Linked DNA regions of Mytilus edulis. The protein of the gene in region 2 binds, or shares a complex with, the protein of the main gene of each other region. Links are inferred from orthologs where the notes say so. Each region holds a gene or a part of one and is shown on either strand. Other genes may lie near its edges.

Region 1 (7,630 bases), on a different chromosome or scaffold from region 2:
CAAATGGTAAAGCTCAGTCACTTGTTAAAAATGAAACATGTTCAATATCACTACAGAGACAATTTTTGTTTACACACAACTTTTGTGTTCCTCATTTGATGGCGCATTAGTTCCTCATTTGGAGGTGCATTAGGAATATTGACCCAGCTGGTCTTGTGTTGGTTTCAGATCTCTGAAAAAAAAATCATAAATTATAAAATACAAAAAAATAAATTGATCCCAACTTATGAATTACAGCAGTTCTTAAAAATTATCCTGTGTTTACACATAATCAATATTTTTTCTATTGCTGGTCTTATAATAAACTGCAGATTCATAATTATTTTATATTGTTACTGAGATGTTTGTATCTTTGCCAATTATACACATTTTGATGATGTACATGTATGTTAGAAATTTAACACAATTTCAACAGTATATAATTATTCATAACTTATGATTAACCTTCGTTCTTATTTAAAAAATAAATTTGTTGTTAAATTGAACATGTGTTAATGAAATTATGTCTGTTCCAGAAAATACTATGTCCGCCCCTAAGGGACAGCCCTAAGCCCTTTTTAAAAAAAAAAATTCCAGCACCGACAGAATTAAAAATTAATAAGAACAACACTTCCTTTGCATTTTGGTATTTCATACACAACCACCCCCAAATAAAATTTAAGAAAAGAGCTTTCCCTGGGGGAGAGGGGACATAATATTTTCTGGAGCAACCAGTGGTTATTCTACAAATAATTAATAAAGGAAGTTTGGTTTCACAATATTGTCATTTTTCAATTAATTTAAGATATGCAAAGGATTCTACCTTAATAAATTTAGCATGTACATCGATACAACAAGACCTCATATCATATGCCAATGAACGCAATCTATAAAATCAACAAAATATAATTTGATAAATGAAATTAATATAAGAAGAATGTGTCCATGAGCCACAAATGATCTTATCAAACTTAATTTAAAGGACATATCTAGAGAACAGTAAAGCAGATGCTCTCCAAATTCAAACTCTGCATTTTATGATAATAAGCGTTGTGTATTGGTTGCATAACATGTGGTTTAGGCAAACGTTAGATAACAAAATCCAATTTTGAGTTCAATGTACATGTATGTACGTACAGTACAAGAGTTAAACTATATCACTCAGTTAAGGAGGACAGAAAAAGAGCTGATCAACTGATGTTTACCTTTTTAAAATCTTGGTCCAAATTCTTGAGCTGGTGCATGCTTAACTGTTACATGGTTACTGCAATGATTTCCTCAACCTCAGACACATTGGATCTGTGGATTTATATACAAGACTCTGGAAAAATAAATAAAAATACGTTCAATTATCTTTTATATTCTTCTGTCTGTTTCATATAAAAAAGAAGATGTGGTATGATTGCCAATGAGATAACTCTTTACAAGAGACCAAAATGACACAGAAATTAACATTTATAGGTAACCGTACTGCCTTCAACAATGAGCAAAGCCCATACCGCATAGCCAGCTATGAAAGGCCCGAAATGACAATGTGAAACAATTCAAACGAGAAAATTCACCGCCTTATTTATATAAAAAAAAATGTTAGTCCAACAAATCTTTAGGAGAACAAAGTGACAAATTTAAATGCATTCCAAAATTCATATGTTTTATGATTGATTACAACATGGTTTCTGATCACATATTTAGTGATTGTACATGTAGCTCGTCATTGATAAACATGTAGATTTCATATTATAATAAAATTGACGGTACTAATTTTCTTGCACCAGATGCGCATTTCGACAATACATGTCTCTTCAGTGATGCTCGTGGCCAAAATATTTGAAATCCAAAGTTTATATAAAAGATGAAGAGCTATAATCCAAAAGGTCCAAAAAGTATTCTCTCTACGAGAGAAGCTCTACTGTGATAGTCGAGTTGACATATTTATAGACCCTCATTGATAGGATTTCAACCTCCTGTGGTGAAAGGAATCAGAGCTTTGCATGAGGGAGATTCATTCCTTAATTTATAATAATTTCTAATATATTGTTAAATTGTACAGCAAAAAAGATGTCCCTATGTACTGTTTTAACACCTGTAAACTGGGTTTTACCCTGAAAACAAGAAAATTTTACCCAACTTTCAAGGCTAGATCCTAGTCTAAATCATTATGACACTTTCAAGACTTGGAAGGCTGTTTTTTTATTTTTTTCTGGGACGCCTTCCTACAACGACCTAATCCTATTGCGACAACCGTGATGGCTATCTTAATTTTTTTCTGTGGCGCCTATATTTTACAACATCTTTATTGGCACAATTGTCTATTTCCATGTCAGACCCAGTGATACAATGATTGATCGTTTGTTGCTCAACATCCAGTGGCAAATATTTCATGCATGTTAGCGACGACCCCCAGTGATATATGCAGCATTATCATTAATAGGCCAGGTTGGTAATATGCCAAGTTTGAAATGTGCGGAGTTTGTAATGGACCCAAATATCTAAAGTGCTGAGATGTTTAGCTTCACATTTTCTGATATTGATAACATGGATAAGACTTTTATGCTTCAATGATTATCAAAAAATAACAGAGCAGACACTTGTAGCCTTAATATATAGGGATAGTAGCTCTTGTCACAGATAGAAAACAAGTACTTGTGGCTGTGCACCCCTCCCCCTTTTTTTTACTTTCTACAGTTTTTACTTATTTTTGGATCTCCTGAAACAACACAAGTTAATCACGAAATTTAAATAACACACATCATGGCTAAAATATCTTGTATCAGTGCAATATATTGACAGTATAAGAAAAAGTATCATATTTCAACACGATCACGTATAACCGACTTGAAAGAGGCGCCCAACACGGTAACAGCTGTTTTATTTTCATCAATCAAACTTGTTTTTATCATGGAGAACCTATTTGGTGTAATGTGCAATCATTATTTTACCTTTTTCTTTGTTCTGGAATCTGGATCAAGCTATATTTCCACTGCCTCACTGTTTTCAAAAATCAAGCGGCAACAGTGCGCATGCTCAGACTTTTCATAGGATGCAGCGGTAAAACCCGAGTACTGCTGAACGTTACACTAATCAAATCGTGAAAAACGATTATGAAATCCAAGTGATAAATGATGACAAAATTTTAATGATATAATAAACAATAAATATTCATATAAAATACATATATTAGAACATTAAAATTGGATTTGTAATATTTTCTTTGACATCTTGATGCAAATTATGTCTGCGGGAAAAAAGGGGGATTTTTTTTTTAAATCGATAAAATCGTAAATATATTCTAGTGAAGGTGAATGATTGATATATCCAGGAATACTCATTATGACATACCCCAAAAATTCGTCCCATAAAACCAGATTTTTACAATGTATTCACTACGTTCTTATAATCGGATTATGACAGTTATAAGCACGTTGTCACAACGTAATAAAATGTTACGTCCTGACAAGGTACTAAATTTACGTGAATCCGACGTAATTTCATAACGTCGTCTGTACGTCTGCATCCAACGTTGGATTTTTACGTTCCCACAACGTTGGTACGACGTAAACTCACGACATGACGTTCAGACGACCATTAACCGACGTCGGGAGTACGTCGTGTGTTTACTGGGTCGGTACTCAGAGTAGTTTTTGAGGTGAAAATACGGCCATATTTGTCCATTAACAATCATACAACTGGTACCATTCTTCATGTTCTTACAAATTTTGTTTTTCTATTTTGTGTCTTGTATCCCTGAATAATCATTATAGTCAAAAGAAATATAATGAAGAAATCACCGGTAGCATACAGCACATGTAATAAGAAAAACAAGACAAAATGGACCATGGCACTGTTTTTGTAAACTTATTGGAGCTGAAATTTTGACAAGGAAATGTTATAAGTTGAACTAGAAAATGCAATTAGTTAATTACTTTCACTTTACGTGCTATGGGTGTACCTTAAGCCCAATGAAGTGTTCGCTGTTTACCAAAATTAGGACAGTCGTAATTATGTACCGACCGAGCCTCTTGACAACTTTTCCAACTTCCGGTTATGGGAATGGTCTGCATAGAATAAATTAAAAACAAATGACACATTATGTGCATAAAGTGCTTATTAATGAAAATATGAAACATTAGTTTTAACGATCACTTCTATACATTGATCATTTTAAAGGAAAAATGGAACATTAAATTTTCTGCATATATGAAAATATATCTAAAGGACCGAAAATATAGCAAGAAATGAAATACCAATATATTTACTAATGATATTTGAAATCATTTAAATTCGAAATTAAGAAGGAAAGATATAATAACTGGATGGACTTGCATTAATCATTTATATAAATATTGACAGATATTTATCTTTATTTGATTGATCGTCTTTTCGGTTTTTAACAGCACCATGGCCAGTAGTAATTAAAATGGCGGGAAGCTTGGAAAACAAAGAAGGATACCAACATAAGTAAACGTCCTGCAACATTAACTCGACAAGAGACTTTCACATCAACTATCCTGTTTTCTTCATCTATTACATTTTGACAAATGTAAGATTGTACTGACGTCCGGGGCTGTTAGTGTTATTTTTTAACACAACTAAAAATTAAATTTAAAATTAATAAATTTTAAAATAAAAATCACAGGCACTTGTTTACTCGTAAATAAACGTTAATAGTGGGTCTTCCCATGGAGAGAAACAAGTGGCTGTGATAAAAATCTAGTTCAGCCGTAGTCGTTTCTACAATAATAGTCAATTCGGTCACAATATTCTAATGTTGTTATATATGCCTCCTTAACCTTATTTTATGATGGAGCTATTCGCCGTTTCAGAATCTAATGCATCCTGGGTAATATTTTCAAAAGCGTACACCAAAGCGTTTTGATTGGTTTAAAACGTCCTAAACAATCGAAATTCAACCAATGACGTAACGTTATTTTCACTTTGGGGTAAGAACAATACACCTTATCGCTAATCCCGGCTGACCCGCCCGCTTGAACTTTTGACGCATACAACAATTACTTTTCCATTGGGCCGTTTTTATTAAATAAGTTGGTTTACGGATCCGCCGACCCGAATTTTCGCTAATTCAAATAAAAATAAACGCACATTTGTCCTTAAAAATTATTTCCGCCGACCTCATATTTCTCGATTTACTAAGAAAATTTTAAACGGAATTTTTGTGTTTACGTTTCGTATTCTGGTTCCTATTACTGCATTAAAAAATCGTTAACCAGTGCACCGGAACGTGACTGGTAAGCTTTCCCCGACACCCAAAAGCGAAAACAAGTCGCCCTCTTCTTGACGATACTCGCTTTCAGTCGCTTCCGTCATCGGACATTTTCAATTTTTACCAAGTTGATGAAACATCATTTTTTTATTGATAATTAAAGAAATTAAGACATAAACGGTTCATTATCTTAAGAAAAGAGGCTGAAGCATTGTATTTGCAGTGTGTAGCAGTTTATTTGATAAAAAATACAACTTTTTATCACCTCGACCATTTTTGCAAGTTCCGGTGCTTGTTACTCGAAAACGTACATCAACCTAAATTTCGGCGGTAAAATAAGTTTGTTACTTCATTTAAACGTGATAAAAGTTGCCTCTAGTAAATGTTTAATCCATTTATTGCATTAAAAACGTCATGTTCCTTTCCAAATAACTTGTCAAACATCGTTTATTTTTGTAAATTTTCTTGCATTCGTCCGCCATTTACCGATTCCTAAAGTACGGATCTGAACCGGACCAGCTAAACCGAAATCCGTACTTTTACAATAATTATTACGGACGCACGGATGGAACAGCTGACAGACGAATATTGACCACAAAGGAAAAAATTACGTATTTCACATGCATTAAGAGACTTTTAGTTACATCTAATTGATTGGTGTATATAATTCCCTATATTTTTTATGTATTGAATTTGTTTCAAACTTTATTAAAGTTGCTTAACTCGGAGACTATTACACTAGCCAGGGCCGTAACTACATTGAGGCAAATGAGGCAAATGCCTCATCTTAGAAATTAAAAAAAAAAAAAAAAAAAATGAAACAAAAGATTGTCTTAATTTCAAATTGTTTTCACGGAAAGTGTCTAACAAGAAGCAAGTTCTCTTCACTCTCTGGTGTCGCCCCTGCATGTTTTTCGTGATCCATGTTTCTTTTTTACTTTTAGTTTTCAGAATTGATGGTCTGTTGTTTGAACTTCTGTGTCCCGGGTTTGTCTTTTGCTCATTTATTGTCCTACTTTATGACAATAGTCTGAGTGTTGATTTTCATTTGTAAACGTGTAGTTATGCAATGTTGCATGCCCACTGATGTCCAGATATTGTGCGAGAAAATATTTTAAAAATATACTAGACATAAAAAAAAAAAAAAAATGGTCGTTTCTGCATTGAGAATTGAATTTGATATCAGAGAATTCACAACTGGCTTCTTTTGGTTAATAAAACTAGATAGCTGGCATGGTTTAAATTAGAGTAAGGTCACCAATTTTACGGTATCAAATAATTTGAAAAAAAAGCAATAATGTATTGCCATATGACCATTTCCATTGATGTGTTAAACTTGCATTATCGTCATGTTCAGACCCTTTTACAGAAAATAAAGGAATATGGAGTAAATGTGCACGAAACCTAATCGCACACAAAGTCATTGCATAAAAAAAATACTAATGATCAATCATTTGGTCAAAGTTGCTGGAGGGTCTTCAACAATAAAAGAATCATTAATACCGTAAAACAGGGTCAAGATGGTCCCTAGTGTCGACTTAAGCAGTTCTAGTATTTAAAGCATAATACTGCACTGTCACTATATTCCAATCTAGTCATAAAAATGTCACCAAAGTCTAAGCACAATACAAGACTAAAACAGACAGACAGATCCGGTATTAATGATTAGGAGAATTACGAATTTTGCGTTGTCCATAAAACCTTAAAGACTAAAATTAAAATGAATCTATGTTTTTGCTTTCAGACCAGAATATTATCGAAAGAAAGCTAAAAATTAATTGCGTTTCAATGTCAGAAAGAGTCTGGGAAACGCTCAGAATGCACGATTTTGCGTTATTTTTCTCAGAGCTTCTGGGGGGCCTTGAGCGGTCCCAGTCCCCTCGCCAAATTTTTTTGCCTCGCTCCGCTCGGCGATATATTTTGCCTCACTATTTGAAGAGGCTAGTTACGGCCCTGCTAGCTAATATCAATATATTATGGCCCAGCTTAAATTATATATTTTTTGATGAGAGACACTGAATTTCATACTTAAGATAGTTTTGAATTAAATTGTAATTGATATATTATAATTTCTTTACATTTTTCAAAATAAAAAAAAATTTTTTTTAGTGCTAGATATTAAATATTTAGTTGGAAGTTTCTCACAAGAACCTAAGTAAAACTTTTAATTTGAAATGTTACTTTAATTGTATACTCAGATATGAATTGAACAATATAAAAAGAACATTATTTAACATATGACCCTTTATACTATAGTAAAATCCAAACATTGTAGGGCACCAAGCGAATGAGCACTTCTCTTTCAAATCTCACCACTTCTCCCTATCAGTTTCAAAAAGAAAAGTCACTTCTCCCTATAATTCTGAAAAAGTGTGAGCCCTGCTGATATCCGTAAACCAAGTAAAAAAAAAAACTGGAAAGATCTAGTTT
Region 2 (5,340 bases):
GCCTGATGATGGTTTTTATAGTTTGTTAATATATTGTGATGTTATACCACTGTCTTAGGTTAGGGGAGGGTTGGGCACCTGCAAACATGTTTTACCCTGCCACATTCTGTAGGGAGCTTGTAATTCATTGGTTAACTTGTTGCTGTATTATATAAAAAATAAATCTTTTCAATGTTTTGAACATTAATCAATCTGTTATTTTCATTGTTTTACAATAGTTGACTATACAGTATCAGTTTTGCTAATTGTTGAGGGCACCATACAGTGACCTATAGTTGTAACTTGTTTAGTTGTTACATGTATTTACTTTGTCATTTGGTCTCTGGTGAACAGTTATTGGCAATCATACCCTATTTCATACTTGTTCTTAACATCATTTTTAACTACTGTATGCTCATGATGCTATAAAGCAAAGAAGCAGGAAATGTACCATTTTTTACAAGTCTTTGTTTGGGAATTAAACTCACTCTTGAGACAAGCACCTACCACCAAAACCACAGTTGCAGTACATATATTAAAAAAAAATACAGTTAAAGTATAGATATTATTTATATTACAGCACATGAACCTTGTTACAAATGTATAAACTTAAATTTCAATTAGTAACACATGCACACACATTTTTATTTTGGACTTTTCAGCATCATGAGCATGTTCAGAAGATGTACAAATTTTAGCTTTAATGAATATTGAATTGATACTCATAGCTGTTTGCTAAATGCCCATTCATTAATCACGCAAATCGTCTTTGTACTGTCCTTCACAGATTCATGGAATTAAACTGCGTTGTCAACTTGTCAGTTCATATAATTCTCCTATAATTTCTCTATATGTACAATAACTTGTCAATCTAATGTTCCTTCTAAAAAGGCATAGCCATCTCTTGAATCGAGCACTACATCAAGGTCTTTTCTTTGTAATGTTTTTCGTTTACTGTTTAATGTGGTTACAACTGCGTCTTTAGAAATTGCTCCGATGAAAAGTTCTGTTGCTTTACAAAGTGCGACAACTGCTTCCTGGCTCGCCAAAGTAACATCAGGATCGGTTTTCATTATCACCTTAATGCGGGATAACGGCAGTCTCATTAAACGTTCATTTGAATTAGGTGACTTAGATTCACTAGTCCCTGAAGGTTCAGTTTGATCTTGTGTGCTAGAGCTTTGTTCTAATGTTTCTTCTTGATCTTCATGTGTTTCAGTTTCTTCATGAGTGCCATTCTCGATTGCAGGAATAGTATCTGATTCTTCTTTTTCTGATATAGATTCATTTTCTAAGTTTGTTGTTTTATTTTCATCACTGTTCTTTAAATGACTTATGTCTGTCTCATCTTTTTGTGATATTGTTTCTGTTATGATTTCCACAGTTTCTCCTTCTCCCGCCATTTTATAGAATTTGAGAATCAAATCCGGACCAACTCTGCAATTTACTTCGATTGTTTAAACTTCTACTTGAAAGGCTAAATTTATGGTAATTTATAGATTATTTCTATTTAAATAATAATTGATAATGTAATGAGGTTGCCGGAATATGGTAATTGGTTTTTCAAGTGTCTTTTTTCATCATTAAAGTGTAAAGCTATATCATGTTTATAAACCGGATTTCCTTAGTTTTTCCGACTTCGTAAAAAATTAACATCATTTCCGATCTTCCCGTTTCAAAATCTGGAACGTCAAAATGTAAGGATTTTAAATAGCAAGACTCTTTAGACTAAGAAAGTTTTATATGCTGTAACACTGTATTTGTTATATTTTATCTTTCTTTTTCAAGCCGAAAACATTTGGACTGCTACCATCTGCTACTATGCTAATGTTGAATACTCGTGCCATTGTCATTGGTGACAATACACAGTTTATTAAATAGGAAAAAAAATCAATATTGACACAATTTTGAACCACCCTCTTTCCCTTGTTTTCAAGTAAATTAGGCTTAATGTTCATGAATGAGGATAGTAATGCCTTATACCTGTAACTGGAGAGCATGATTCTTCTTTCAAAGGGTAACAGGTATCAGGTCCGTTCACGCCCAATACACTTTCGCACCCTACACGTTTGCACCTCGCAGGTTCGGGTATCCAGTCGTTCCGGCCCCAAACCGATCCGGCCCCAAGTCAATCCGGCCCAAAGTCAATCCGGCCCAAGTCGATCCGGCCCACGTCGATCCGTCCCCAAGTCGATCCGGCCCATAATAAAATATGAATTAACTAGATTTTGTCACAAACTTTAACAGTATAAATGGAATTTGAAAAAAGTGTCCGATCGATGATGCAACAACATTTCTCAATTTTAGAAATTTTAAGAACTTAAAAAGAAAAACAAATTTATATGTATCAGCTTGGGGATCGGCTTGTACCGTTCATGTATGTAACTATTTGTTATTATATGTTACACAAGATGAAAGACTTGTTAGGATCACAGTCAATTGAAAGAAAATGCTAATTACTGCTGATTAATGTTGATGTCTGAATTCACTGTTTTAATATAATTATACCCAATAATCTTGAAAACTTGTAATAAAGACATAATCAACCTAGTTGTTTTATACTCATCTAATGAAAAATATTTTTCAAAGGCCTTTTTTACTTTTATTACCGTACACCTTTAACATTATAATAAAAATAATAAACATTTATGAATTACAATTAATATATATTTATTTTTATTCCTTAGAAATTTTTTTTTTTTATTGGGGCCGGATCGACTTTACATATGGGCCGGATCGACGTTGGGCCGGATCGACCCGAAAGCGCAGGTTCGCACCCAAGGTCCGTTCGCACTCTACATGTTCGCGCCCAATTTTAATTCAAATTCCAGTTGAATAATTAGAAATTATGATTGTTGTTTTAAATTGCTTTGGTGTAAATATTGAATGTATTTATAGCTTGGTATGAGTAAAACACTGAAGATTTTGAATGAAAAACACAAAAGATAATTGTTTTTGACAGCTTGTTCACTTTGATCTGAAACAATTAAACAATAAGATAAAGCAATACGTATACACTATTATCTGATTATAACCAAAACATGATAAAACTTATTATTCAACACACAAAAAAAAAAAACGTAGTCAGAATCTCATTTAGTTGTTTTGAAACAAGTTATAAAACAAAGTTATAGTAATACAGTAACTAAAACATGATTAAGAGTTATTCAATATAAAATAAAATGTTGACAGAATCCCACTTTATTTATAGAAAGGATTATATTTTTTTTTAACAATACACTATCCAAAACATGATTTAGATTTGTTCAACACAAAGATAAAATGCTGTCTCACTTTATTTTAAGACAATGACAAGAAGAATACTCTTGCCAAAACTTGCATGATTACAAAAAAAAAAACCAATTAAAATTGGGCACGAACATGTAGGGTGCGAACGGACCGGGATTCCTTTCAAAGTCGCATGCCTCCACTGGGACTCGAATCCTTGACCTCTACAATGTATGTTACAAGGCAGCGTGTTAACCAACTGAGCTAAAGAAGTACTTCCTTAGCTCAACCATGTGCACTTATGGCTGACTTAGTATCTACTAAATGTTCTGAAGGAAGCAATCCCATCACATGTACACTTCCCCCCATTAAAATACTCTATAATGATATCTTCATCTTTTTTATATTTATATTTTAACCTGGCTATGTTTTTCTTCTAATTGTGGGATTTTATTGTTGGGCGCCAATCTTAGTGGAGAGCATGATTCTACTTGCAGAATCGCATGTCTTCAACAGGTCTCCAACCCGGGACCTCTGTGTTAAAAGCTATAAGGCAGGGTGTTAACGGACTGAGCTAGAGAAGTAATTCCTTAGCTCAACGGCTTATGGCTGACTAAGTATCTACTAAATGTTCTAAGGGAAGCAATCCCTTCACATATCGTTAGGCGTCAAACAGTAATTTTTGGCTACTGTTAGCGTCAAATTGGTTGAAATTTTACCATCATTCATCAAAATATTCTAATTGTGATTTGACAAAGGTCTTAGACTCAAATAACTTTATTATTACATGTATATCGTCATGCACCAAAATTTGATATTATCATGATTATGGGACATGTATACAATAATTTTTATATTCAGAATTTTACCCTGGTCAAAATAGGAAACTTTTAAAACTCTATAGCTACCTAACACAAATGCAAATAATCCATCCACGATACATATGTACTATTACGAGACTATCTCAATGGAACATGCTTTGTACAGCATCATGAACATGACAATACTGAAGATTGTGCATGGAAATGCCTACATTTTCCTGAAATGGAGTTGTTATGTAATATTTACCTGTAAGGCAAACATTGAAGTCCCCATCTAAACAGTTTTTCAAAATATAAATTTAAATGGTTTCTGGAACATGTTTATTTGAACGTGCTTGCATTTCCTATCATGATTTTCTGGATAGATGGTTGCTGCTCACAAGGAAGCTATTAAACCAAGAGTTCTAAATGGTGAAGTTGAAATTATCCCTTCATAAATTTTACAGATGCCATAACGTCGTAACTACAATCCCCTTCCCTTTCATGAATGTGACCTACCGAATTAGATTATTTACCAGATTTGTTATCACATAAGCAACATGACTGGTGCCACATGTGGAGCAGGATCTGCTTACCCTTCCAGAGCACCTGAGAACACCCCAAGGTTTTGGTGGGGTTCGGGTTGTTTATTCTTTAGTTTTCTATGTTGTGTCATGTGTACTATTGTTTGTCTTTTTCATTTTTAGCCATGGCGTTGTCAGTTTATTTTAGATATTTATGAGTTTGACTGTTCCTTTGGTATCTTTCGTCCCTCTTTTATGTTTTTAAGGGTTTAAGTATCATTGTTGAATTTTGCAGTAAAGACATTCTCTAATCATGCTAATGTCTGTTACATGTATGTTTATTTCAGGTTTTATGTGCCATGGTTAACCTCAGCAGCAAAGACATTCTCTGCTATTCTATTTGTCCTTTATGTAGTGGTGCCAGTACTGGTCAAGACAAATCCTTGGATCTTCTCTAAAATACTCTTCTTACATTTCTGTGAGTATTGTGAAACTAGATATTTGTACATAGAATATAACCAAACTTGCAAGTAATCTGAAAATTAAAATTATAAATTGTATTTTAGGTTTGATAGTGAATTTTATTTCAAAATTATCCATAATGTAGATTTTTGGTATTTTTCATTCTTCTGCAATTCCACTTCCAAATGTAAGCTGTCGAAAAATTTTACATTGGAATTTGCAATAATCTGTCATGATCATGATGATAAAGGCTTTGATAACTGTATATAAGGGTTTTATGACATAATGATTATGAAATTATAGCCTCTACATGCTCTAAATATACCGATTCTACTGTATTTGTAAAG

What was found.
Region 1: DNA polymerase epsilon subunit 4-like (region 2) and DNA polymerase epsilon subunit 3-like share a complex: the UniProt entries of both Drosophila melanogaster proteins name them as parts of the DNA polymerase epsilon complex. The link is inferred for Mytilus edulis from reciprocal best matches to the Drosophila melanogaster genes PolE4 and Chrac-14.

What each region holds. Positions count from the first base shown.
Region 1 is NC_092345.1:43,552,977-43,560,606, reverse strand, and holds the start of DNA polymerase epsilon subunit 3-like, read left to right. Parts: upstream 1-4,360; 5' UTR 4,361-4,519; exon of another isoform or gene 4,520-4,545; intron 4,546-7,630. UniProt on the Drosophila melanogaster protein: Accessory component of the DNA polymerase epsilon complex. Participates in DNA repair and in chromosomal DNA replication. Histone-like protein which promotes nucleosome sliding of ATP-dependent nucleosome remodeling complexes.
Region 2 is NC_092346.1:1,157,933-1,163,272, reverse strand, and holds DNA polymerase epsilon subunit 4-like, read right to left. Parts: upstream 1,411-5,340; 5' UTR 1,383-1,410; coding exon 846-1,382; 3' UTR 707-845; downstream 1-706. Other genes in the region: lysophosphatidylserine lipase ABHD12-like, read left to right, coding at 1,675-1,676, 4,879-5,009. UniProt on the Drosophila melanogaster protein: Accessory component of the DNA polymerase epsilon complex. Participates in DNA repair and in chromosomal DNA replication. Has a role in cell cycle progression. Required for wing morphogenesis.